Regions from separate parts of the Mus musculus genome. Here regions 2 and 3 are each reported to be linked to region 1. Evidence: microRNA targets listed by miRTarBase, many of them from high-throughput screens and not tested one by one. Region 1 holds a microRNA gene; each other region holds the end of a gene's coding sequence.
What was found. The annotated mature microRNA mmu-miR-124-3p reads UAAGGCACGCGGUGAAUGCC and lies in region 1 at 4,000-4,019, shown strand. An mRNA with a match to its seed (bases 2 to 7 or 8) in the 3' UTR can be bound and repressed. Matches are read on the target gene's strand: a 7mer-m8 pairs with bases 2 to 8, a 7mer-A1 pairs with bases 2 to 7 and ends in A, and an 8mer does both.

Region 1 (7,487 bases):
AAATTTTCTTGGTCTAGCTAAGCCATATTCAAAAGTAAACAAAGATGACTCTACAAGACTAAAGAGCTCTGTGTTACTTTTCTTAGCCAGAGGGGAGAGGGTGAGACAAAGTGGGCAGATGAAAATTTTATATCCTATTTATTAAAGATCTTTGTATAGGTGCATTGAGCGATCGTTTGTCAGTTCAGAAATAATGAAATGTAGCCCTCTCCCCATTTGATTCTGGTACTTCATTTGGTGAGAAATACAGAAAAAAAATGAAAACAGCTGAATGAAGAAGAAATGGGGCTCACATACTATTCTCCTCCTTTTATATAATCTTAAAAAGTTAAGAAGTCAAATTAATGAAGAAACACATTGACTTAAAATTTTCCAAAGCACTGGAGCTTGTTCCTTCATATGGATCAAAACCATGGACAGCGAACTAGTTATTAAGCAAACCGACTCCAGCAAAATTGTGTGTGAAATTTTACCTTCATAGCATCTGTTGGAGGCAACGAAAATTTTATTTTATAACAATTTGGAATAAATCTTGAATTTAAAACTAAAATTTGAATTTAAGGGATACTGTATGCATTCTACCACGTTTTAAGGAAATGATAATTCATATCTTCAACATCTGTCCTTTCTCATGGATGTGACTTTTTAAAAATCAAACTAAAGGTCATTTCTACCTTATGTCACTAGTAAATTACAGTTTTAAATACATTCATTTTGGTATGGGATGTTTGTTATAGGACATACAGCTGAATAAAGAAAGAGAAATTTTATATTTTGTCTGGGATTAGCTGAATGACACTAGAGCAAATTAAATAGATTTTTATCAGTGACTAGGTTTCTAAATGCATAGAATTGGAAAAATTAAATGCCACTTTGATAGACAGGGATAATATGAATAGAGATATGACTCCCATACCCCCATTTATTTCTGGACAGACACTATAGTGCATAACTAACTGTGCAGTGACTGGTTAGACGGACACTCACCCTAACCCCCAGGAAAACAACAGACTTTCACATACATATTGATCCAGGTTAGGGCACAGGTTTGGTTCACTGTGGCTCTGTGTCAAATAACTATATTGCTTTTTGCATGAGTTTCATTACCTTAACCTTTTCAGAAGTGAAATTCATCACAATTATTTCTCTTGTGGATTATATAACTGCTCCCTTAAATTTTCACTTTCAACCCTGTGACTTCTGACTTATTTTGTAACCAGTCTTCTTTGTGACCTGTAAAGGCCTGGAAGATCGTATAAATCATTAACAACACACAGGTTAGAAAAATTAAAAAAAAACAATTTACATTTAAATTTGAAATAAAATTCAAGTGACGTTGAGATTTGTAAGGCAATGAATTCCGGATCTTTAGCCATCGTGCTTGTCCAGAGAATGAAACTGCAATTCTTTGAATGTCCTTGTTTCTTAGCATAGATGATAGATATGTTTTTGACACCCGCATTTTAAAAATTTAAATATTTAAAAAGCATTTGAGAAGGATATTAAATGGAATTTGGTGGTATTCTGATCATTTCATAATGGGCTCTTGTGGTTCTTGTAATGGTGGCCCAGGGCTCTGGTAGAAAGCAGAGACAGTTTGGGAGTCATTGTTTAGGAAGGTGCTCCAGCCTGTCTTCATTCATAAGAATAAGCATAAAAAATTTAGACCTTGGCCTGGGGAAAGGACAATGGTGGGGACGAAAGATGCAGATATGCCTTAACCATAAAATGAAGAGGTGGTCGCTCATCTGGAGCTTAGCTCTGTCCATGGTGAGGTGTTGGCTGTGCGTGCCAGATTTTAGATGAGGATTGAGAAAGTAGTACTGTCTCTATTTTAGGAGACAGAAGCCAAGTGTGGTGACTTTGACTTGTGTTGAGCCAGCCTGGACCTTGACTGGGGGCTGTGCAGAAGGCAAGAGAGACTGAGGAGCTCTGTCTTAGGTAGTTGTATTGGGGCCAGTGTGGTGCGTGCAGGAGAGTGTAAGCAAGGGCAAGGAGGGTGCCCTTTGCTTTGCCCAGGCGCAGCTCTTGGGGGCTGCGCGCCTTCTGCAGCTCTTTGGTTTCAAGGACACAGCGAGCTGTTCAGGACTTTGGGAGCCAACATCTGTCTGACTGGTGACGTCAGCAGCCCGTGTAATCCTCTTGTGCTGAAGGCAGATGCCTTATTTGTTTGGCTGGAGCGAGCCATTAATCCCTAATTCTGGATCAGCAAGCGAGGGGGAAAGACCGGACCGCTACGATCCACCCCCTCCCTGCCCCCACCGCCCATCCTAAAGCACCTTATATCGCGGAAACCACTCAGCCTCCTCTTTCCTCCGAGAACACGCGGAGCAGCCCCTGAAAACGCTTTGGTCCTCTGCAGGTTTGAGCAGAGCTAGCAGCTCTTTCGCCTTTGGATTTCTAGGGCTATGCCTATATGAAATTCTTTATTTCATCGATCATTTCGATTTTCATGCGAGAACTCTTCAGTCTTGCAGTTTGCAGGATTCTAAACCAAGAAGGGGTGGAGATTGGAGAATGCGGTTCTGGCGTGTGGTCTGAGGGAGGGGTTAGATGGGTAAGGGCGCGCGGGATGCGCAAATCGCTGAGACTGCACAGAGGACAATCTGAGGACTCGCTTTCAAGACTCCATCTCAGGAAAACATTTCTCTCGTCCTGACTGCATCTTCTCACCTTCCGAAGCCGGGATTGAGTTGGGAACTCCCCTGTCGCCCCGCACATTGCAGGGGCTCCCCGAGCTCGATTCTATAGGTCCGGACGGCCGGTCACCTTGGCTCCCTAGAGTGATTCCTCCCTCCTCCTGTCCCTCCTCTCCAGTCTCCCCCTCCTCCCTCCTGCTCTAATTCTGCGCTTTGATTCTGTTTTTCAGGGGGAGCGCTCTGGGGTCTCCGCACAAAACCTGCTTTTGAGCCCTTTGGCTTTCTTCAGGCGAGCGCAGTCCGTCCATCCCCCTGGCCCACCCAGCCGCAAGGGATGCTGTGAAAAGAGCCGCTGCTTGCCGCCTCCGGCCTGCCGTCCAGAGGGCTCCGCCCGTAGAGGTCAACTCCCCTCATTCTTCTTCTTTCCATCTTGCCCTCCCTCCGCCGAGCCCAGACTCGGATCTCCTCCTGACTCCCGCCGCAGTCAGAGAGAGCGCATCTGCTGCGCTGCCCTTAAATCTACGCCCAGAGCGGGCTCAGACCCGATCTCTGCTCTCCAGAGCCGGAGGAAGCCCGAGCAAGCAGCCTTTTCTCTTCGCAGTAAAATCATAGCCAGACCAGATGGGCCCCAGCTCTCCCGGGACTCGGCAGGTGCTGTTGAGTTAATTTTTCCGCAATACAAAGAAGGAGGACCCAGCCGGCCTGGGATTCTGATCTTTTCCCAAAATTTCCCAACCAAAATCGGGCTATCAAAGGCGTATACGTGTGTTTGTCGGACATACAAACATGCATGATTATATTCGCTTTTTCTGCTAGATCTCTGGCAACAGGGGATGAGTGACAAAGGTTTCTGCAGCAGAACACTCATGGTGTGGTCCTTAAAGACTTGCCTTTCCTTACAAATGTCTTAGGACGGCATTCAGGGCGAACCAACTCAGTTAATTGCCTTCAGTAAAATAACACGATTACGAAATTAGATCTGTACCAGAGGGGTAATTAACTTCGATCCATGTCATCATTTGAAAACTAGATTTATAGACATATGTATGGGTTTTAGGTGCGCTGTAAATGGCATGCAGATGTATGCATAAGAATCGCAGACTCATGCACCCGCTACTCTTCAACCTTGCAGACTAATTAATGGCAACTCTGACAGATGTGGCGGGAGGAAAGCTGAGGTGGGAGTACTGCTCAGAGCTACAACTCTAGGAGTAGGGACTCCAAGCCTAGAGCTCCAAGAGAGGGTGAAGGGCAGGGAGAAAATTATAGTAATAGTTGCAATGAGTCACTTGCTTCTAGATCAAGATCAGAGACTCTGCTCTCCGTGTTCACAGCGGACCTTGATTTAATGTCATACAATTAAGGCACGCGGTGAATGCCAAGAGCGGAGCCTACGGCTGCACTTGAAGGACATCCGAGAGAAGTTAGGAAGGGTGGGGAGAAACAATTCTAGAATGAACCCATCCTGTGCGACACAAGGACCCCTCGCATTGATTCAAAATCTTTAGAATACAAGACAGTCAAATGTTTTTCAGCGAGAATCTGGGAAATCCGCATGCATACTCCCAAGGGGAATATTAGAGGTTTCATTGACAGCTGTCAGGAGAGCTGTAGTTCCCATTGGTGCAAACGGTCTAAGAGATGGCACTCAGAGAGTGCTGGCCTTTTCCAAATAAAATTCTGGGTCGAACTGGGAAAACAAAACGGATGAGAAACCCCAGACCACACTGCATAAGAAACCTCAAATGACTCAATTATCAGTGAAAATAGGACCCCCGCCCCAAGCTTTTCACTATTCTCCCATTCTTTACCCAGTCTCATGGTAGCCTTGACTGGATTTAAAAGGCCAAGGCAAAGTGACAATACCCAAATCAGTCAATATTGTCCAATAAGAGGGAAAGGCCAAGCCAGGAACTCTAAGACTTGGTAAATTAATGTATTTGGAAGACCATGAGGTACTTAGTTAAGGTAGGTTCCATAACCCGAAAGCCTAAGAAAACCACCGCTGAGAAAGAGCCTTGGTGGAAGTCTTTGTTCTGTGGTGGCCTATCTGGCCTGGGAACAAAGGAGAGGCTGGAGAAGGATAACCCAAAGTGGCCGCACCCTCGCCTTGCTGACAGGATCATCTTCCTCTTCCTCTTTCTTTTCCTCCTCCATTACCTCCTCCCCCTCCTCTTGTGGTAATTCTGCAAACAAGGCAATAGAATTATAGAATCGCTTCTTCTCTAACCCAGCCCCATACCCCAGGATATTAGTTAACTTACAAATAAAAACCTTGAAATACGGAAAGACAGGCTAAACAGTATTTTGCTGAAACCATCCACTCTGACAATCAGCTGATTTGGCCAGAAACCCGAGTAGTTAACAAAATGTGCTAGAGAGAGATTAAATAGATTTTTTTTCCTCTTAAATCACAATCTTGAAAAGAGAAACACACGGTTTTCAGTTGAGGATCTTATCTCAGATATGGTCACCAAAGATACCTCTCAAAGGACCCTAGAGTGTGCCTCAAAATATATTTAAAAGGTTCTGACTGAGGTTGATTTAGTGACCAGAGCAGGCAGGAGTAGAGAAGCCTGCAACCACTCTCGTGGCTCTCAGCAAGGCTTTCTGTGGGACAGCTTTCCTTACTGAGTTCTGAGGCCAAGGCCCACAGAGTGGCAGGGTGATGGTGCCCAGGAGCTGGCAGTGAGCCTCGCTCCTCACAGGAGGTACTGCAGTCCTAGGAGGCCTGAATCCCACAGTGCAGAGAAAACCATACTGCAGAGCACAGCTCACTAGGGAGGCAGAGTAGCTTACCAAATCCCATATAATGAAGATTTGTCTTAGGAGTCCTGGGTCAAATGTGTCTGAATTAATGCATTCAACATATATTTAAAATTATCAGCATTCTAATTTAAATATTGAGAGTATTGTATATAAATAGTAAAATATTAATTTCTATATTGAGTCATATGTGCAATGGAAAAAGTAATAGACAATAGATTGGTTTGTATTCAGCCGTGGGTCCAGGAAAGAAAATGTTCCATGCTTGAATTTCTTTGTAGATTCACATCATAAATACTGTCAAACATCAGTCATAGATAAACTAAACAAAGCTGTAAAGAGACACAGTGACAGTGATTTTTACCTGGGCATAGAAATGGTCCATAAATGAACAATGGCCTAAAAAATATGTTTTTATACTATTTCTTCTCTTCCACCTGAATGGTTGAAATGTAGCCAATGATTCAGGAAAAAATGAGCTCAGAAATGATATTCTTGGGGGTCTAGTTCCTATTCACTCCATCCTAAAAAGGTGGCTTTTAGTTTTGTTTTCTGATTTTAAAACTCTGTAAATTAGGATCTTTATATCCACAAATTTTAGGTTTGCATTTGATTTTACACAATCTGGGGGGGGGGGTGAGATGGCGATATCACACTTTGTTGGGACAAGAGCTACCTCAAACACAAAGAAACCCCCTCTTGTGTCGCTGAAAAAAAAAAAAAAAAAAAAAAAAAAAAAAACTCACCAGAAATGGGAATGGGTTTGAAGTGCTGAAGGTTGTCATGGATGCTCCTCCTTCCAGCAACGACCTAGTTATTCTGGTGGTCTCTCCTCACAATCCCCTGAGCTCCTCACAAAGCAAAAAGGGTCTAACAGTCCTGCTACATCAGTGTAATTCATATTACATAATAAAAACACAATAATACTCCCCGACCTAATCCTACTTGTTTACAGCAGTCCTATACTCTCGCTTCAGAAATCTTAATCAGTTAAAAAATATATTTTCTAAATAAAAATGAAACATGTAATATGAAAGAATTTAAAAAGTAAGGGAGCAAGTACAGGACTTAGTCATCTGGTTGCTATGATTAAATCCAGTGTGGTTATTGATTCATGGTGTTTGTGTACTTTTAAAATTAATTATTTTCATTTTTTATAAGTAATCACCCAACTTAATGTCCATTACAAAATTTTCCTGCTATGAAATTCTGTGCTCAGCAGTTTTCCAGCAAAACAACCCAGGTGGACAATTAGAGAGCTTTGGTGCAGAGGACCATGCGAGTCCTTTAGCAATCACAACTTTCATCTAGTGGTCTGAAATTAGAGCTTCTCGGGATAATTTAGGAACAGCTTGACCGGTTGAGACTCTCAGGGACAACCCTCCTTGGGAATAGTGTGTTTCTTCCAGGGAGTAAGATGCTAGCGCAGGGAACCGAGGCATCTGGTGTCAACAACGCCAGAGCGCCCTCTGCTGCTCCCAACAAATAGAACACTGGTTTCCGAAGCCAGATGGTCAAGAGTTTCAATAAGCCCAGGAAGCAGTAAGCTCTTAGGATCATTTAATCTGTAGAATTTAAAAGCTTCCATCTTATTCTTCGTCCGAAAAGGCTACCCGATTTTCATCAGGACCACTCCTGGGATGGTTACATTCTGAAGCGAGAGGTCATTGTTTAAAGCAGATTGTCGATTCTATTGGTTGTATTTCTGTGTCTTTTTTTTTTTTAATTTTATAAAAAAATATGGAATTGTAAATCTGAGGGCAAAGCCTTTCTAATAGGCAGCTGAAAAAGAAATAAGTTTCTTGAGTTTTGCACATAACTGAAGTCTTATGATAGGAAATATCTGAATTAGAATAAAGATGCCAAGCTCAAGGTGTTTACTTATTTTTGAAGGGCACTGAACCAAAAGTAATGCCTTACATAAAGAATGATTATGCTGATTTTGTATTACTATTAACGCCAATTTTCAAAGATAGACTTTGAATAAGAAAATGATTTATGTTTGAGGAAGAAGCTGAAATTTTTGAGTCATATTAATTTATCCAAAATTTCACCTCTGAAATCTTCCTAGTAAGTACTCAA
Region 2 (7,487 bases), not on the chromosome of region 1:
GGTAGCCATGGGGAATGTGCTCTTTCCCTCCAAATCCAGAGTTATCCAATAAAATACCCTGCAGAGACCCCTGCCTTTAGGTCTCTTCCTTCTACCCAGAGCCCATTACTGATAGGTCATTTTTGTCCCACCTTCCCCTGTCATCTATGCTATAGCTCCTGGCAGTGGGTCACCTCCACTCACCTGAGTCCGTCTTCCTGTAGAGATCACAGACCACACTTATCAAGAGGACAGGAAAAGGCCATGGTAGTACCTTTGAAAGACCCCACTGTCTCCCTTTCTATTTTCTGTCCAACAGTCCTGAATCCAGAAAGAAAGGTTCCAGAGGGAAGTCACGGCTTGTTTGTCCTTTCGGTCAACCAATAGCTAAGAGACTCCAGTGGCCAGCTCCCACGAACCAGCCTCTGCCTTTGTGGGTGCGGCTGGCGGTGGGGAGATAAAGGCCTTGCGAAAGAACGATGTGTAAACATACTTTGTCCTTAAAACATACTGTGTTCTTAAAGACACCAGTACTTTCCAAGCCCTGTTTCCTGTTACTAGCTCCCTTTAGGCATTATTAGCTCTTGAACCAAATGGTTTGAAGCAAAACCCAATTAAGTGCCTTCCAAGTCCCCACCCCACCCCCACCCCCCCACCCCCAAAAAAAAGAAAGAAAAAAAGAAAAAGGCTTGATTCTGGCAGGAGGCAGTGGAGCCACTGTGAAGTCCTGAGACACTGGGCAATTTTATGTTTCATTTATCTGTGAACCCAGTCTGCCTAGAAATGCGCAGTCCTGTCAGTCAAAAGAACACCAGTGTCCAGATCGTACAGCAAGTCTTTTCCTCCAGCCCATTCGCAGGTCACCAGATGACCTGCTGGGACCCACTGCTGTGTGATCTATCTCACAGCAGCAGCTGTCCTCTGAACAGTACTTTCCAAGCCAGCTGAGCCGCAAGAGGCCCAAGGTATGGTTTCCCAAGTGGCTGTAATCTCCTTCTGTTCCATGACCTTCTTGCCTGAGGCCTTCTCCTCCCTCCCAGTGGCCCCGAGGGCTCCTCCAGCTATACACACAGACAGACACGTACAGAAACCTCTGGGCTTCCAGTTATACACACAGATAGACACGCACAGATGTTCAGGCTGCTCCAACAGCCCCAGAGAAGCCTCTGAGTCTGCTGTCTGGCATAAGCTCATACTACCTCAAAGATAGTAGGGGTTTTGTTTTCAATAGCACCTCATTCCTGATCATCTCTTTCACCTGAACTAACTGCCCCACTGCCTGCCTCTACCCCTGGGGCCAGCCTCCCGTACAATATGACATTTGGTATGATGGGGTAAAGGGGAAGAGATGGCCCAGCCAACTGGTATTCCCCATGTATGCTCTGATTCTTCTGCTGACACTGTGCTGCCTCAGGGTGAGTATCTTCCCCTCTCTGGTGTCAGCTTCTTGGCCTGTGAGATGTTAGGGTTTCATTAGGCTGGGCTTTTAAATATTAGAGAAGTCCATGACTTGTTAGGGGACAGAACCCACCCCACAACTTTGGGGATATTGGCCAATAGCCTCAGTTGAGCACTGTAACAAGAGAGGAGCTATTCATGTAGAGAGCAGGGATGTATGTCTTCTGCTCTGGACCTTAGGTAGCGCTCAAGGCAGAAGCTAGGAGTGTATATGAGAAAACACAAGCTCATGGATGTGAGCCTAAATTTACCTTCACATCTGAGACACCTATCCCTGCCGGGTTCCCTTCAGTCACCCTCCCACTCCCCAGATCTCTGGGTGTCAGCTGCCATAGACCCCACATTCACAGTTGGCAGGGTTTGGCCTGAGGCATTCTGGGTATTGGGGGGCCAGGTCCTGCCCAAGCAGCAAGTGGAAGACAAACATAGGTAAGTTCTGAAGGTGTGTTCAAACAAGTCTGCCATCACCAAAGTCTCCAGGGGGCTTATCAGTCAGGTGAAGCCAAGGCTCTTGGAGACTGACAGAAATCAGCCTTGGAGGCATTCTATCCCATGATTTCTTTTCCTCAAGGAGGAAACTGTGGCAGTGAGTACCCTGGAGATGAGGTGGAGGAAGACTCACGCAGGGCCACTCAGAGGATCAGTGACAATGTCTGCCATCCCAAGCCTTGTACTAGTTACAGTGTGGTCACTGGGAATCACCCCCCACAGACTTCCTACTATCCCTCCATACTTATATGGATAGGTTCTGGTCACCTATGGAGATGAGATCTTTGCTGGAGCACTCCCCAACCTTGCTGGGAGCAGCTACAAGGCCAACAGAAACCTCGGGAGTATTGGCCACCCCATGCCTGATGGCTCTTCTGACACCTCTGGAGTGACATGGCCCTTTGAGCCTGTTCCGAGATGGATGCAGCATGGGTCCAATTGCAAGGTGAATTGGGCAGGTACCTCAGGTGCAGATGACTCTGGCTTCCCAGGCTGGAGGTCAGACCAGGGCGTAGGAACTGTAACCAGGGCTGGAACGATATAGACCTTCCCTAGGCTGTAGAGACTCCACATGGGCACAGCAACACAAAATAAAAGCCTCAGTCTCCAGACCCGTCACCGTCCTCTTAGAGAGAGGACCAGGGAGGGTTCTGTTCACCACTCGCCTTAACAGTCAGGCCCTGCTCTTGTGGGGCAGCACCGCCCTTCCTCCCAGACCCTGCATTACCACACCTGTGACATCAGCATACAGGAACACTAGCCATCCATTGATCTTGCTGAACTACAGGCAAGTGAGAATAAAATTACTTTTTTTTTTTTATTTCCCAAAAAAGTAGAGGCGGGGAACAAGATGATACAAATGACTGCCATCTCCTATGGGTTCTCTGCCTCTGTGGAACAATACCAACTGGTCTCTCTTGGCTCATGGAGTCCTAGAGGGCTTGCCCTGTGCAGGCCCAGCCTTTTCCTCCAGTTTACATATTGGTTGGTTAGTCCAGTTAGACCTCAGAATGACATAGCGTGGGTCCCCTCCTGCTATAGCCGACGTCCCCCCTCCCACCTGCCCTCACATTTCCCTCATGCCCTCAGCCTCCTCTTCCCTCTACACTCCTGCTTGAGCCTCACTGGGTACCCCCAACAGCCCTCCTGAGACCTCACACCCTACCCTGTTTTTCCTGCCTTTCTGATAGCAGCAACCTCAAGCCACAGCGTATACTGTGGCCTTGAAGGCGAAGCCTAGCTCTACCTGAAGGGCAAGGGACATCTAGTAAAGATGGATTGTCCTAAGACCCAGCCAGCCCTCTGCTACTCTCCTATTAAGAAGAATTCTGTAGGAAATGTTAACACAACAGCTAAAACAAACAAGCAAACAAACATCTGTAAAGACAGGGATGAGCCAAAAAGAAGCCAAGTGCTGGCTAGATTGGCAGCTCTATCCTGGGGAGAGCTGCTCAGGGGCTCTCCTGCAAGGTCCACATTCTCTAGACCAAGCATCTGGAACTGGCCAGAGGATCTGGAAAAAGATCTGATCCTTCTAGAATCTTGGGCCTTTTAACTCAGAAGCACCTGACTGTAGTGGGAGAGGTTAAAGTTCCAGGCTGGTCAGTCCCTCCTTCAACCTGGCTACTGCCTCTCCTGAGCCCGCACAAGGAACACTCCCTTTGGTTTCTGGAGTTGGGTAGATGATGAAATAGAACCTGTACAAACCCTATGGTCTGGAGTTGTGATGGTGGGCATGAGAGAACTTTTCCTTGGTCCTCAAAGTCTAAGGTGGTCCTTGGCAGCTGGAAAGAAGCCTCAAGTACCAATCCCAGCCATGGGAAAGACACTCAGAACGAAGCATGTCTTCACCCAAATGACTACACCATAATGCTGACAGGGAGTGTAGAGCCAAGTCCTGGACTCCTGTTCCACAGGCCCCCAGAGTGTCTGTGGGACAGAAGGGGGTGGGGACTAGGCTGCCAGGAGCAGAATCTCATACCAGGAATCTTTAGGTGCAGAAGTTAAAGGCAGACGCGTAACCACCTGAGACAACCACCTCTCCGGCTCTCTGGGAGAAGGGACTGGGAGGCAGAGGGGATGGGGTCAGGGCTGACAAAGGGGGAACTCCATGAGAATGGAGTAGGTAGGGGTGAGGGAAGAGGAATAACAAGAAAGGATGCAAGCCCGGGGAATGTGAGGCAGCAGACACTTCAGTCTCATGAGAACCCTTCAGAACAAAAGCCCTCCCCTCCCTCTGGCTGTCACCCAACAGTGCCCCTTTCCCGAGGGTGCCCGGAGGACGGCAGCTTCATTTATGGAGGTAAGCATCCAGCCACAGCTCCCCAGACTTCTTCAGTGAACTGCAAATAGAGAGAGGGGGGCAGGGCTCAGGAACCAGATGGAAGGAACCTCGGCCTCCAGGCAGTGAGACTTGTGGGAAGTCATGTTGGGGCGGCAGGTGCTTCCTCTCAGCTACTGACTAGGGCTCACCACTTACCACAGGATACCACAGGAGCTGTGGGCTACTGACTAATACACCCCAGAGAAACCCCTGGGAAAGGAGAGAGGGGAGGTCCTCTTCTAGCCCTGGGTAGACAGGAATCCCCACTGTGAGCTAGAGTCCCTACTGTGAGTAAGGCCAGCCATGTGCCTCTCACCTCCTCAGCCCCACCTCATCTCTGGCCCCTTCCAGTGCTCCAGAGCTTCAGCCCTTGTGGAGCTCACCCCTCACCTCACAATGTCGATCAGGGCCCTCAGCAACGGCTTCTCCTGGTATTCAATGCCATGCTTGGCGCAGAGAGACTTCACCAGTGGGGCAATCTTGTGCAGGTTGTGACGTGGCATAGTGGGGAAGAGGCTGGGGGAGCAGGTGGGCAGAGTGAGTGCAACCCAAGACCCATGTTCTCCACCTCCTCTCCAACCCAGGGAGGCAGGCAGGGCTGAGGTCCTATCTTAAACCAGGACTAGACTGTGGCTCCTGCCAACTGCCTGAAGATGTTACTGGTGGTGTGTAGAGGGGCAATTTATGAACAGGGGCACTGCAGAAAGCCGAATTGAACAGCCAAACACAAGAGTCTTATGTTAAAAAACAAAAAGAAAAAGGGTATCAGGGCTCACGCCCCTGGCCTCATCATGTGGGAGGCCAAGGCAGAAGACCTATGTAAGTTCAACACTAAGCCAAAAAAAAAAAAAAAAGGAAATGAAAGAAACGGATGGAAGATGAGAAGAATAAGAAAAGATGAGAGATACAGGAAGAGGCAGCAGGCAGCAGGGACCCTTTGGGCCCCTGTGTACCAGATATGCTATCTAGCTGGTCCTCAGTTTCCCAGCCAATAACCAGGCCCCTTATAGGTCTGCAGGATAGTCTTGTAAGCTTTCTATATCTGCAAAGAGGCCACACGTGAAGGAGTGCAGTCCCCAGGATGGCCCATGTGGCACAGAGCCTGGACAGCAATGCCTCCAGGGCACGCTGATCCCAGAGCCCCTCTCCTGCCCAGCTGTGCTCTAGGGTGGGGTGGTGGTGGTTTTGCCAAGAAGAGAAGATAAACCTCATGGCACCCTTGGCCTGTGGGTTAGTGGCCACTGCCCTCCCGCTCCTTGTCTCCCCTCTTCCCCCCACACCCCCAACATTGCTGGGCTGTACTCACTGGTGCTCAATCTGGAAATTGAGGTGCCCGCTGAACCAGTCATTGAAGAAGGACTGCTCCACATTGCAGGTGGCTGCCAGCTGCAGAGGGGACAGGGCATCAGTGGCTGGTGTGTAAGAACAAAACCAAAGGACCTGGACTTACCCCATAAAGGTCACCTTAACCAGGGTTTTAGGGCCTCTCTCTAGGTCATACCATTCTAGCCTCACCCTCCCAGACTCCCCAAGTTTCCTCTGGTAGATTCTTATCACTCCTTCCATATTTCCTTCTGTGTTGTTTTTAACTTATCCTGGCCTTGGACTCCTGATCTTCCTGTCTCCACCTCCCAAGTACTAAGATTATATTATGGGTCGCCACATTGAGTATATTGGGTGCCAGAGATAAGACCCAGGATTTTATGCATGCTAGGCAAACACCAACTGAGCTGCGTCCCCAACCTTCTACCCTCCTTTCTTGCTTAACTGAGGCTGCCACACCAACTGAGCTGCGTCCCCAATCTTCCTACCATCCTTTCTTGCTCTGAGGCTGCCAACAGGCACCAAGTAGCCCTAGGGAAGGTTTGTATAGCCCTGGGTCCACAGAGGCAGGGTGCAGGCAAGGACATGGGACAGCTTTCCAGGGCCCCCGTGACTACCTCTGCCTCCCCTCACCTGGCTGCTGAACCAGTCCCGGTAGTGATCAAGATCAATCTCCATGACAAGGTGGTTCATCTGTGTGACCCACACAAACCAGTGGCTCTCCAGGAACCTAGAAGACAGCAGAGCTCAGTGCCGAAGCCTCAGGGTGGGAGATAGGCAGCCACAAAAAGCCACTGTACCTACCCTACCCCCATGGCTGGTTCAGGGTTCACATCACAGCCCCGGCAAAGCCAGTGCTCTCAAAAGCACAGGGTGAACCAGCAAAGTTGGGGTACCTGATAAAGTTGAGGAAAACCAGGGCTCCCAAGATGCCGTAGAAAGGGATGTAGGTGTAGAAGAAACGCATATAGTAGCTGATGGCCCAAGCCAAGTCCTGTAGGGTAAATAAGATTAGACTTAACCTGCCCCACCCTCCTTGGCATGGTGCAGCTGACCACAGGGGCATGTATATACACAGCTGACACTGCTTGTCACAGGTGTTCATAAGAAACCACAGCAGACTGCTAGGAAGTTGGACACTGTGCCCAGTCATACAGTTGCCTCAACCACCTCTTTGCATCGAGTTTGGATGTGAGTTTCAGGAAAGAAATGGGATCTTGACTAGCAGGTAGCCAGTAGGTCCAGAGGATTCTGATGTGAGCCTCTAACATGTGGCCAGGTCACTGGTCATCCTTGCCTTGCCCCTATTCGGGCACCTGGACTTCCTTCCTTTCTGGACATACCCCAGCCCTGTCAGCGACCCAGACTAGGTCTCTTCTCAGGTTAGATTCTCTTCTTGGCCCCTCTCCTCTCATCACTTTGTCTGCTTCTCTTTGGTAGCAAGGTCCCAAGCTTGAATGACTCCCCTAGGAAGCCTCTGCCCTCTGTCACAGCCTCACAAGCAGTCATTCTGCTGAGAAATCCACATGCCTCCATTTCCTCTGCTACTCAAGCTGTGTGTCTTGGCTGGGCCACAGCAAGAGCCTCCCTTTGCTCTCCACCTGATGGTCCTCATGCATCCAGGGCAACTGATGACCTGTAGCAGATCCCAACTCTTTGCTACAACCCCCTCCCCTATAAGCCAAGTGGCCATAGGCCACAGGCTACAGGCCCCACAGGTCCTCTTGCCTAAGCTCTCTGCTCCTCTCTCTAGACCTTTACACAAACTTTCTGCAGTCAGGAGTGCTCATAAGCAGCCATGCTTATGCAGAAGCTTATTTCATCAAGGACCCACCTCTTTGAGGCAAGGGAGACCCCACACAGAGGTGCTGGTGAGATGGTTCAGTGGTTAAGAGCACTGGCTACTCTTCCAGAG
Region 3 (7,487 bases), not on the chromosome of region 1:
TCGATTTGAAGACTAGTTACCATCATCTGTGTGAGGACCCCGCGGAGCGCCAGGCCTGAGCAGGGAGCCTGGTGCCACACCAGAGTGCCTTTGTTCTTCTCCCCTATGGATGATTTTCTGTGAGCTGGTTGTTATCCTGTCTTTGAACACGGTGACCTCTCGGGCCAGGGGATGTGTCACCTTTGTGTCACCCTTGTGTGTTTCACTTGTTTCACCCTCTGTTGTTTTCTCGTGGATCTGGAGTTGAGAAGGTTTCAATACCAAGTTCTGTGGCGTCGGCTCCTAATGAGTACCTTTCCTATGTGTAGGTCATGGTTTCACCATGCTGCGTAGGCTGTCCCCCACCTCCTGGGGACAAGCTGTCCTCCTGCCTCAGCCTCCTTAGTAGCTGGGATTCTATGTCTGCATCACCACACCCAGCAGAAGGTTTTTGTTTTTGTTTTTTCGGTTTTTCAAGACAGGGTTTCTCTGTGTAGCCCTGGCTGTCCTGGGACATACTTTGTAGACCAGGCTGGCCTCGAACTCAGAAATTCACCTGCCTCTGCCTCCCAAGTGCTGGGATTAAAGGCGTGCACCACCACAGCCCAGCTTGTTGTTTGTTTTTGAGACAGCATGTAACTGTGTGTAGACAGGAAGGACTTGAACTCACAGATATCTATGTACCTGCATCTACTTCCTGAATGGTGCATGGACCACCTTTAATGGCTACCACTAGGCTGTCTTTCTTTTCTTTCTCTTCTTTTTTGGGAGAAAGGGGGAGGCAGCAAGCTTAAGGCTAGTGAGGCATCAGGGAAAGCTCTAGAAAATAAGTTGCCCAAGGGTTAATTTTAATTTTTCAACAAACCTTAACAAAACCCAGTGAAGGGATAATAGAAAATCCCAATGAATTTTCCAGACCCTTTCCTTCCCGAGCACCTTACTGCACTCCCTAGTGGTGATGACAAACACCAGGGCTTTGATGGGTGAGCTATCTAACTGGGGTGTGGGGGAATGTTAGGGATAACAGCTGGACTCAGACGTGGGCAGTGATGTCTCTTTGTTCCCAGGTACACTACTAAAAACGCAACTGTTTACGCCACTTTCCTGTACTGGCCAGAAAATGGGATCGTGAACCTCAAATCCCCCAAAACGACCTCGGCCACAAAGGTAAGGAGACTCTGTCAGTCCCTCCTGCCACAGACCTGCCCGGGCCTTCACAGGACCCAGCACTGCACGAAGGCCAGAGACTGATGATCTCTGGTCTTGTCACTCTCACTCCCTCTACTTCCGTCCTCAGTATAAATACTGTCTCTAAAAGCTACCTCATACAACCAGCAGGCAGAACTATTAGAGAAGGGTAATTGATCACATGATTTTCTAAATACTTTTACATTCCAATAAGCTCATAGTAAGTTTACGGCAACAATTCAAGTCATAAATCGATAAGACTTGAGGTCTAACGGCGGAATTGTCTACATGTCCTCCCATGAAGGCTAGTGTCTCACTAAGCATTACCTGTCACTAGCCCCTAAGTTCATTAATGTCACGCGTTAGCACAGTTTTGTCAAGAGACAAATTATCTGCCTTGTGTCTTATTATTTTGAAGGTTTGGATAGATAAACTAGTCAGTAGTTGCTGTTCTCGCACCTAGAATAAATTCTCCGTGCCCAGTTTGTGACCTGTACTTACCAGATAATAGTGTCACAGTTACCAGATAATAGTGTCACAGCTAACCTGGAAGGAATGTTGTCCGCGATCGTAAATTTGTTCCACGCTTGCTTTTTTCTTCTAGTACAATTAGCCCATGACACATGAAGATTTACCGAGCTCTAAGTGCAGCTTTTATTCTATAGAGGACTTGAAATTACTTATATCAACTTAGAAATCCTGCAAAATCATTAGGAATTATGGAGTCATTAATTCGTCTGTCCAGCATTACTATGTGAAAGTACATCTTCATGTTGGCCTGCAGAAAGTCTGCCCAAATAGGGTGGGATAATGCCCAGGAGTCCTTAGGCTGTGTAATAGTGACAGGAAAGCGTATCAGCAGAGAGACCCAATCCCGGGATGAAGTCTCTAAGGACCCTGCCTGCTTGGAGCCCACCCGTTGCTGGCCGTGCAGAATGACAAGCTAGCTCCAGGAGACACTTGCCAGCCTTTCGCCTTTCCTACATGGCTCCCTGCACCCTCCTAAGGTTTAGCATGTTCTGGTTTTGTTTTTCATTTTTTTATTGCTGGGGATAGACCTCAGGGCCTAGGCATGCTCAGGCAAACATTCCACCACTGAACTACAGCCTCAGCTCTTGTTTTTTAAGCTGAGTTCTCTATGTAACTCAGGCTAATCTCAGCCTGTGGCTCTCCTGTGTTGTATTAAGTATTTAATCTCAATTGGGGGTTTCTACCCCACTTTTGATCATTCAGTTCCCAGATAAAAGACAGAAAACTTTCATATTTATAATAAGCCTTTAATGCACTAGAGCTGGGCAGATATCTACCCTCTATGCTATTTTGTCTACTTTTCCATCAATAACCCCCAAGGTATAACTTGCCATTTCCATCTGGTCAGCCCTCATGGCTATGTTGTTGGTTTTTTTTTAAATATTATTTATTTATTTTTATTTATACATGAATACTGTAGCTGTCTTCAGACACACACCAGATCCCATTACAGATGGTTGTGAGCCACCGTGTGGTTGCTGGGAATTGAACTCAGGACTTCTAGAAGAGCAGTCAGTGCTCTCAACTACTGAGCCATCTCTCCAGCCTCATGGCTATGTTTTTGTAACTCCTCTCTCCACCTATGGTCCCAAGCCTGGGTACCAAAATCCCACCTACCTCTCCTCTGCCCAGTTATAAGCTGTTGGCATCTCTAGTCAACCAATAGTTTTAAATTAAGGAACAAGGTCACATAGCATTACTTTATCTGTACAGATTCTCTCATCCCTGGAGGCAACCAGGCCTTGGGGGCCAGTATTTAGCATCACAGTACATAGCAAAAGACCAAACCTCCACATTCCTGTCTCCTCCCAGTGCTAAAATTACCCCATGCCTGGCTAATGGCAGGCTTTTGCTTCTTCCTTCCCAGGTTCCTTCCACACGAATGTCCCACCCACCTGTCTTTGCTGTTCTGTCCCAGCACAGCTTTTCCCCCACCATATCTGGAGCACAGTCTGCTCATCAGTGAATAACCGGGTGCTCTCCACTTTTGCCTTCTGCAGATAACAATGCTAGGACTAGAAGGAGACCTGAGCTGGACCCAGGATCCACTGGAGGGCGTCCTCATCTCTCTGCCACAGTTGCCACCTACCGTTCTGCCGGTGGAGTTTGCGTGGACTCTGAAGCTGACAAAGGTGAACTGATCAAAGGAGCTCAAGGACAGACTGCCTGGGGCGCTGCTTACCATCCCTGCAATAAAGTAGCTTCCCTTCCTTCCACCCAGTGGTCAATCTCCCAAGCCGTTCTAATGGATGGGCGAGCCATTGCTAGCATTTCTGGTGGGCAGAGAGACCTGGCCAGCTCAGCTGAGTCACCCATGCCTCCACTAGGGTGGAACTTCCCTCTCTTCTCTGATGACCTACCTGATAATGAGCCAAGTCATCCTCTTGCCTGTGGGAGCAGGTCAGAGAGGTCTGGCGAGCTCAACCCCCTCTGCCTTATTGGTTGGTACCAGTCCCGCAGAGATGGACCAGGTCCTGCCCTCCGGGCTTGCCAGGCTGTCATGCCAAGCAAGCCAAACGCTCTGCCACTGAGCACGTCTTCAGAGATATCCCGTCCCTCGGGATTCAGTTATTCGTGGGTGCCAGGGGGACCGCAGACCTGTAAGGATATGGGATTGGAAGAGAAAAGAGAAGCAGATGACCAAGTAGATTGTACCTATCAAGGTCTCCATTTATTATGCTGAGGTGCCTTGTTTTATAGCATACATTGCAGGGAATGGGGAGGGGTCGAGGGGGAATTTTAACAAAGAACAAAAAAGTGGGCATCTGCTCACATGAGGTCCGAAGTCAGGCTCCAGGCGGCGGGCACTCTGCATCTTATAGATCTATGCGGAACATAGATCCTCCTTGACAGCCTTGGGGTGTCAGGCCGGGCTCAGGCGTAACTCATGTCCTTGGATGGCTTGGGAGTCAGGAAGAGACAGGGAAGAGGGGACTATAATTTAGCTTTTACAGCCTCAGGTGCCAGGAAGGGAATAGGGAGGAGGGAGTGATAACCAGCTCCTAGCATGAGGCCATTTGGCCTGTCAGGGAGATTGTGAAGGGCTCGCTTTCTCACGGGATGGTCTCTGACACAGAGATACCAATGAAAGAAGGCGATGCTGCCTTGCCTTAAAAAAAAAAAAAAAAAAAAAAAAAAAAGATGGAAGTAAATTTGTATGCCAAATTATTTCTACCACAAGCATGTGATAGGTTTCTTTCCCTAACTTAGGTTACAGCTTTATACTCATTTTCTGGTTTCCTTGTTTGTTTGTTTTTTTTTTTTTTTAATTTAAAAAAAATTTTTTTTTATTTAGGGAGAAAAAAAAAAGTGGCCTGGAGATAGAGCTCACTTGGTACCATGCTTGCTTGGATACACAGAGCCCTTGGTTCAGTTCCTGGCACTGCATAAACCAAGTGTGGTATGCATGCCTGTGATCCAACAGGATCCGAAGCTAGTCCGGCCTGTCTATATAGTGAGCTCAAGGCTGCCCTAAGCTGTATAGACTGTCCAGAGGAAGGGAAGGAGGAGAGAGCTAGCTTGTTTGGTCTCTTTAATGCAGAACACTGTGTGTGGTCCCTGGGGCTTCTCTCTCATTCTGGTGTCTGTCTTTGACAACTACCAGCTCAACCTGTGCTTCACTGTGTACTCAGGAATTTATGTGCAGAGGGCATTGGATCCTCCAGAACTGGAGTCACGGACAGTTCTGAGCTGTCATGTGGGTGCTGGGAACTGAAATCAAAGAGCAGCCAGTCAGTGCTCTTAACCACTGAGCCATCTCTGGGTAGCCCTGGCCGGCCTTGAACTCAGAGACCCTCACCACCACTGACTGGCTTCCCTTGTTTTTAATTTAAAATATATGGTGGCTGTGTAATTTGGGTTTATTTTTGTTCTTGTTTTGATTTTTCGAGACAGGGTTTTTCTGTATAACAGCCCTAGCTATCCTGGAACTTGCCTTGGAGACCAGGCTGGCCTCAAGCTCAGAAATCCGCCTGCCTCTGCCTCCCAAGTGCTGAGATTAAAGGCATGCACCACCACTGCCTGGCCCACCACGAGATTTTAGCGTTACCTATGTGCTTGAGAAAACCAGGAAGGCTGGAGAGATGGCTCATCAGGGGTCAAGGCTTGCTCCTAGCACACACTCGACAACTCCAGTTACAGACACAGTGTCTGTCGCCCTCTTCTGGTTGCTTTGGGCTGCACACATGGAGCACAAATATAAATGCTGGCAAAACACCCATAAACAAAATCAAAATACGTCATTAAAAAATAGTATGCGCCAGGTGTGGTGGCGCATGCCTTTAATCCCAGCACTTGGGAGGCAGAGGCAGGTGGATTTCTGAGTTTGAGGCCAGTCTGGTCTACAAAGTGAGTTCCAGAACAACCAGGGCTACACAGACAAATCCTGTCTCAAAAAAACAAAAGGAAGCCGAGCGTGGTGGCGCATGCCTTTGATCCCAGCACTTGGGAGGCAGAGGCAGGCGGATTTCTGAGTTCGAGGCCAGCTTGGTCTACAAAGTGAGTTCCAAGACAGCCAGGGCTATACAGAGAAACCCTGTCTTGAAACAACAACAACAAAAACAAACAAACAAACAAACAAACAAACAAAAAACAAAAGGAGAAAATCAAACAAAACCCACTTACAGTCCCATGGCGTTTAGAATATTCACAGGTTATCCACGACAGTAGTTAGAACAATCTCACCATCCCTGTAAGAAACAATGGCTGTTGGAAGTTCTCTCCAGCACCCTCCTACCTCTAGTTCAGTGGTTCTCAGCCTTCCTGATGTTGCCGCTCTTCAACACAGTTCCTCATGCTGTGGTGACCCCCAACCATAAAATTATTTTCATCCCATAACTATTTCACTTCATAACTGTAATCTTGCTACTATTATGAATCATAATGTGTATATGGCTTTACTTGACCCCTGTGAAAGGGTCAGTCAACTGCCTCGGGGGTCGAGACCCACAGGTTGAGAACTGATGTTCCATGCACTCTGTGAGACCCACTGTGTAAGTGATCACTGTCACCCTCTGCATCCATGGTGTGTCCTGATCTAGGTCACATGTCACTGAGATCTCATGGTCTGAGCTCCTTGTGTTTGTCTTCTGTCACTCAGCAGGTTCGTTTACATTGTGACACGCCCCAGTTCCTTCATTCTCTTTATGGATAAGCAGTGTTCATGGACATTTGAGTTGCTTTCAGACATGTCTAATCCACAGTCTGGGAGCCACGTATGTCCCAAGGTTGTCACGAAGGTGGCCCAACAGGAACCATATGCGTAAGCATAAAAACATGGTATCAGTTCCTTTCTTGTCGCTCTGATAAAAACCACGACAAACATAACTTGAAGGAGAAACATACAGCATGAAGTCATTGTTCAAAAAAAGACAGTGGTCTCATTTAGGAACATAGCTGAGTCACAGAGCAACTGTTTAAAAGATTAGGGTGAGGGGGCTGGAGAGATGGCTCAGTGGGAGGTCCTGAGTTCAATTCCCAGCAACCTCATGGTGGCTCACAACCATCTGTAATGGGATCTGATGCCCTCTTTTGGTGTGTCTGAAAACAGCTACAGTGTAGTTTACATATAATAAATAAATAAATCTTTAAAAAAGAAAGCAAAAAGAGGAAGGAAGGAAGAAAGAAAGAAAGGAAAGAAAGGAAGGAAGGAAAGACAGACAGACAGACAGACAGCAAGCTGAGTGACCTGTTAGGAACAAATAAGCAGTCTTCCATGGCCTCTCTTGAGTTCCTACCTGGACAACCCGTCATGAGGCTACAACTGGAAGCTGGAACAAGCACTTTCTCCCTGAGATACCTAGTGGTGTCTTCACTTTTTATTTTGTTTTGTTGTTCTTAGGTTGGTTTAGGGGGTTTTAGTTTGGTTTTGGTTTTGGGGGGGTAGGGTTGTTTCGTTTTGGTTTTGGTTTGTTTGTTTTTTTAACTAAGAAAGGAAGGAAGATGGGAAGAGAGAGAATCACTATTTTTTTTAGTCGTCTTTTGAGGCGGGATCTCACTCTGTAGCTTAGGTCTTTGTGCAACTCACCGTGTAGCCCAGGCTAGCCTCAAACGCTTGCCGGATCTTCCTGCCTCAGCTTCAAAGTGATGTGGTTTAGAGGTTCAGGAGCAAGTCCATTTGCTCTGCTAATTAAAGAATTAAGACGCAGTGGAGATGAGTTGCCAGGAGTCTTTGGAGGTCCCAGTGGAGCCTCATATGATACTGGGAAAGTCAGGGTGCCCTCTTGGGGTTCTCAGTTTCATTAATAAAATTTAAGAACAAGCGCAAACAGAGTTGTAAGCACAAAGAACTA

Region 2: miRTarBase lists Fads2 as a target of mmu-miR-124-3p. The part of its 3' UTR that is shown has no 7-base or 8-base seed match.
Region 3: the mRNA of Fuca1 is a reported target of mmu-miR-124-3p. Seed matches in the 3' UTR shown: 7mer-A1 at 3,629-3,635, 7mer-m8 at 3,882-3,888 and 7mer-A1 at 4,304-4,310.

What each region holds. Positions count from the first base shown.
Region 1 is chr3:17,791,724-17,799,210 of GRCm38, forward strand. Mir124a-2 (microRNA 124a-2) reads left to right here and starts at 3,939; the gene lies at 3,939-4,047. It overlaps Mir124-2hg (Mir124-2 host gene (non-protein coding)), which reads left to right. Exons shown (of 3, transcript NR_033490.1): 2 at 2,870-3,290. Gm51272 (predicted gene, 51272) reads right to left here and starts at 4,018; the gene lies at 3,962-4,018.
Region 2 is chr19:10,060,047-10,067,533 of GRCm38, forward strand. Fads2 (fatty acid desaturase 2) reads right to left here. Exons shown (of 12, transcript NM_019699.2): 8 at 6,469-6,566; 9 at 6,206-6,302; 10 at 5,556-5,635; 11 at 4,640-4,765; 12 at 2,719-4,268. The coding sequence ends at 4,217. It also overlaps a transcript of Fads3 not described here. Among named protein-coding and RNA genes, the nearest start is that of Gm29917, 16 kb to the left of the region's middle.
Region 3 is chr4:135,935,877-135,943,363 of GRCm38, forward strand. Fuca1 (fucosidase, alpha-L- 1, tissue) reads left to right here. Exons shown (of 8, transcript NM_024243.4): 7 at 1,047-1,146; 8 at 3,198-4,424. The coding sequence ends at 3,338. Among named protein-coding and RNA genes, the nearest start is that of Hmgcl, 6.8 kb to the right of the region's middle.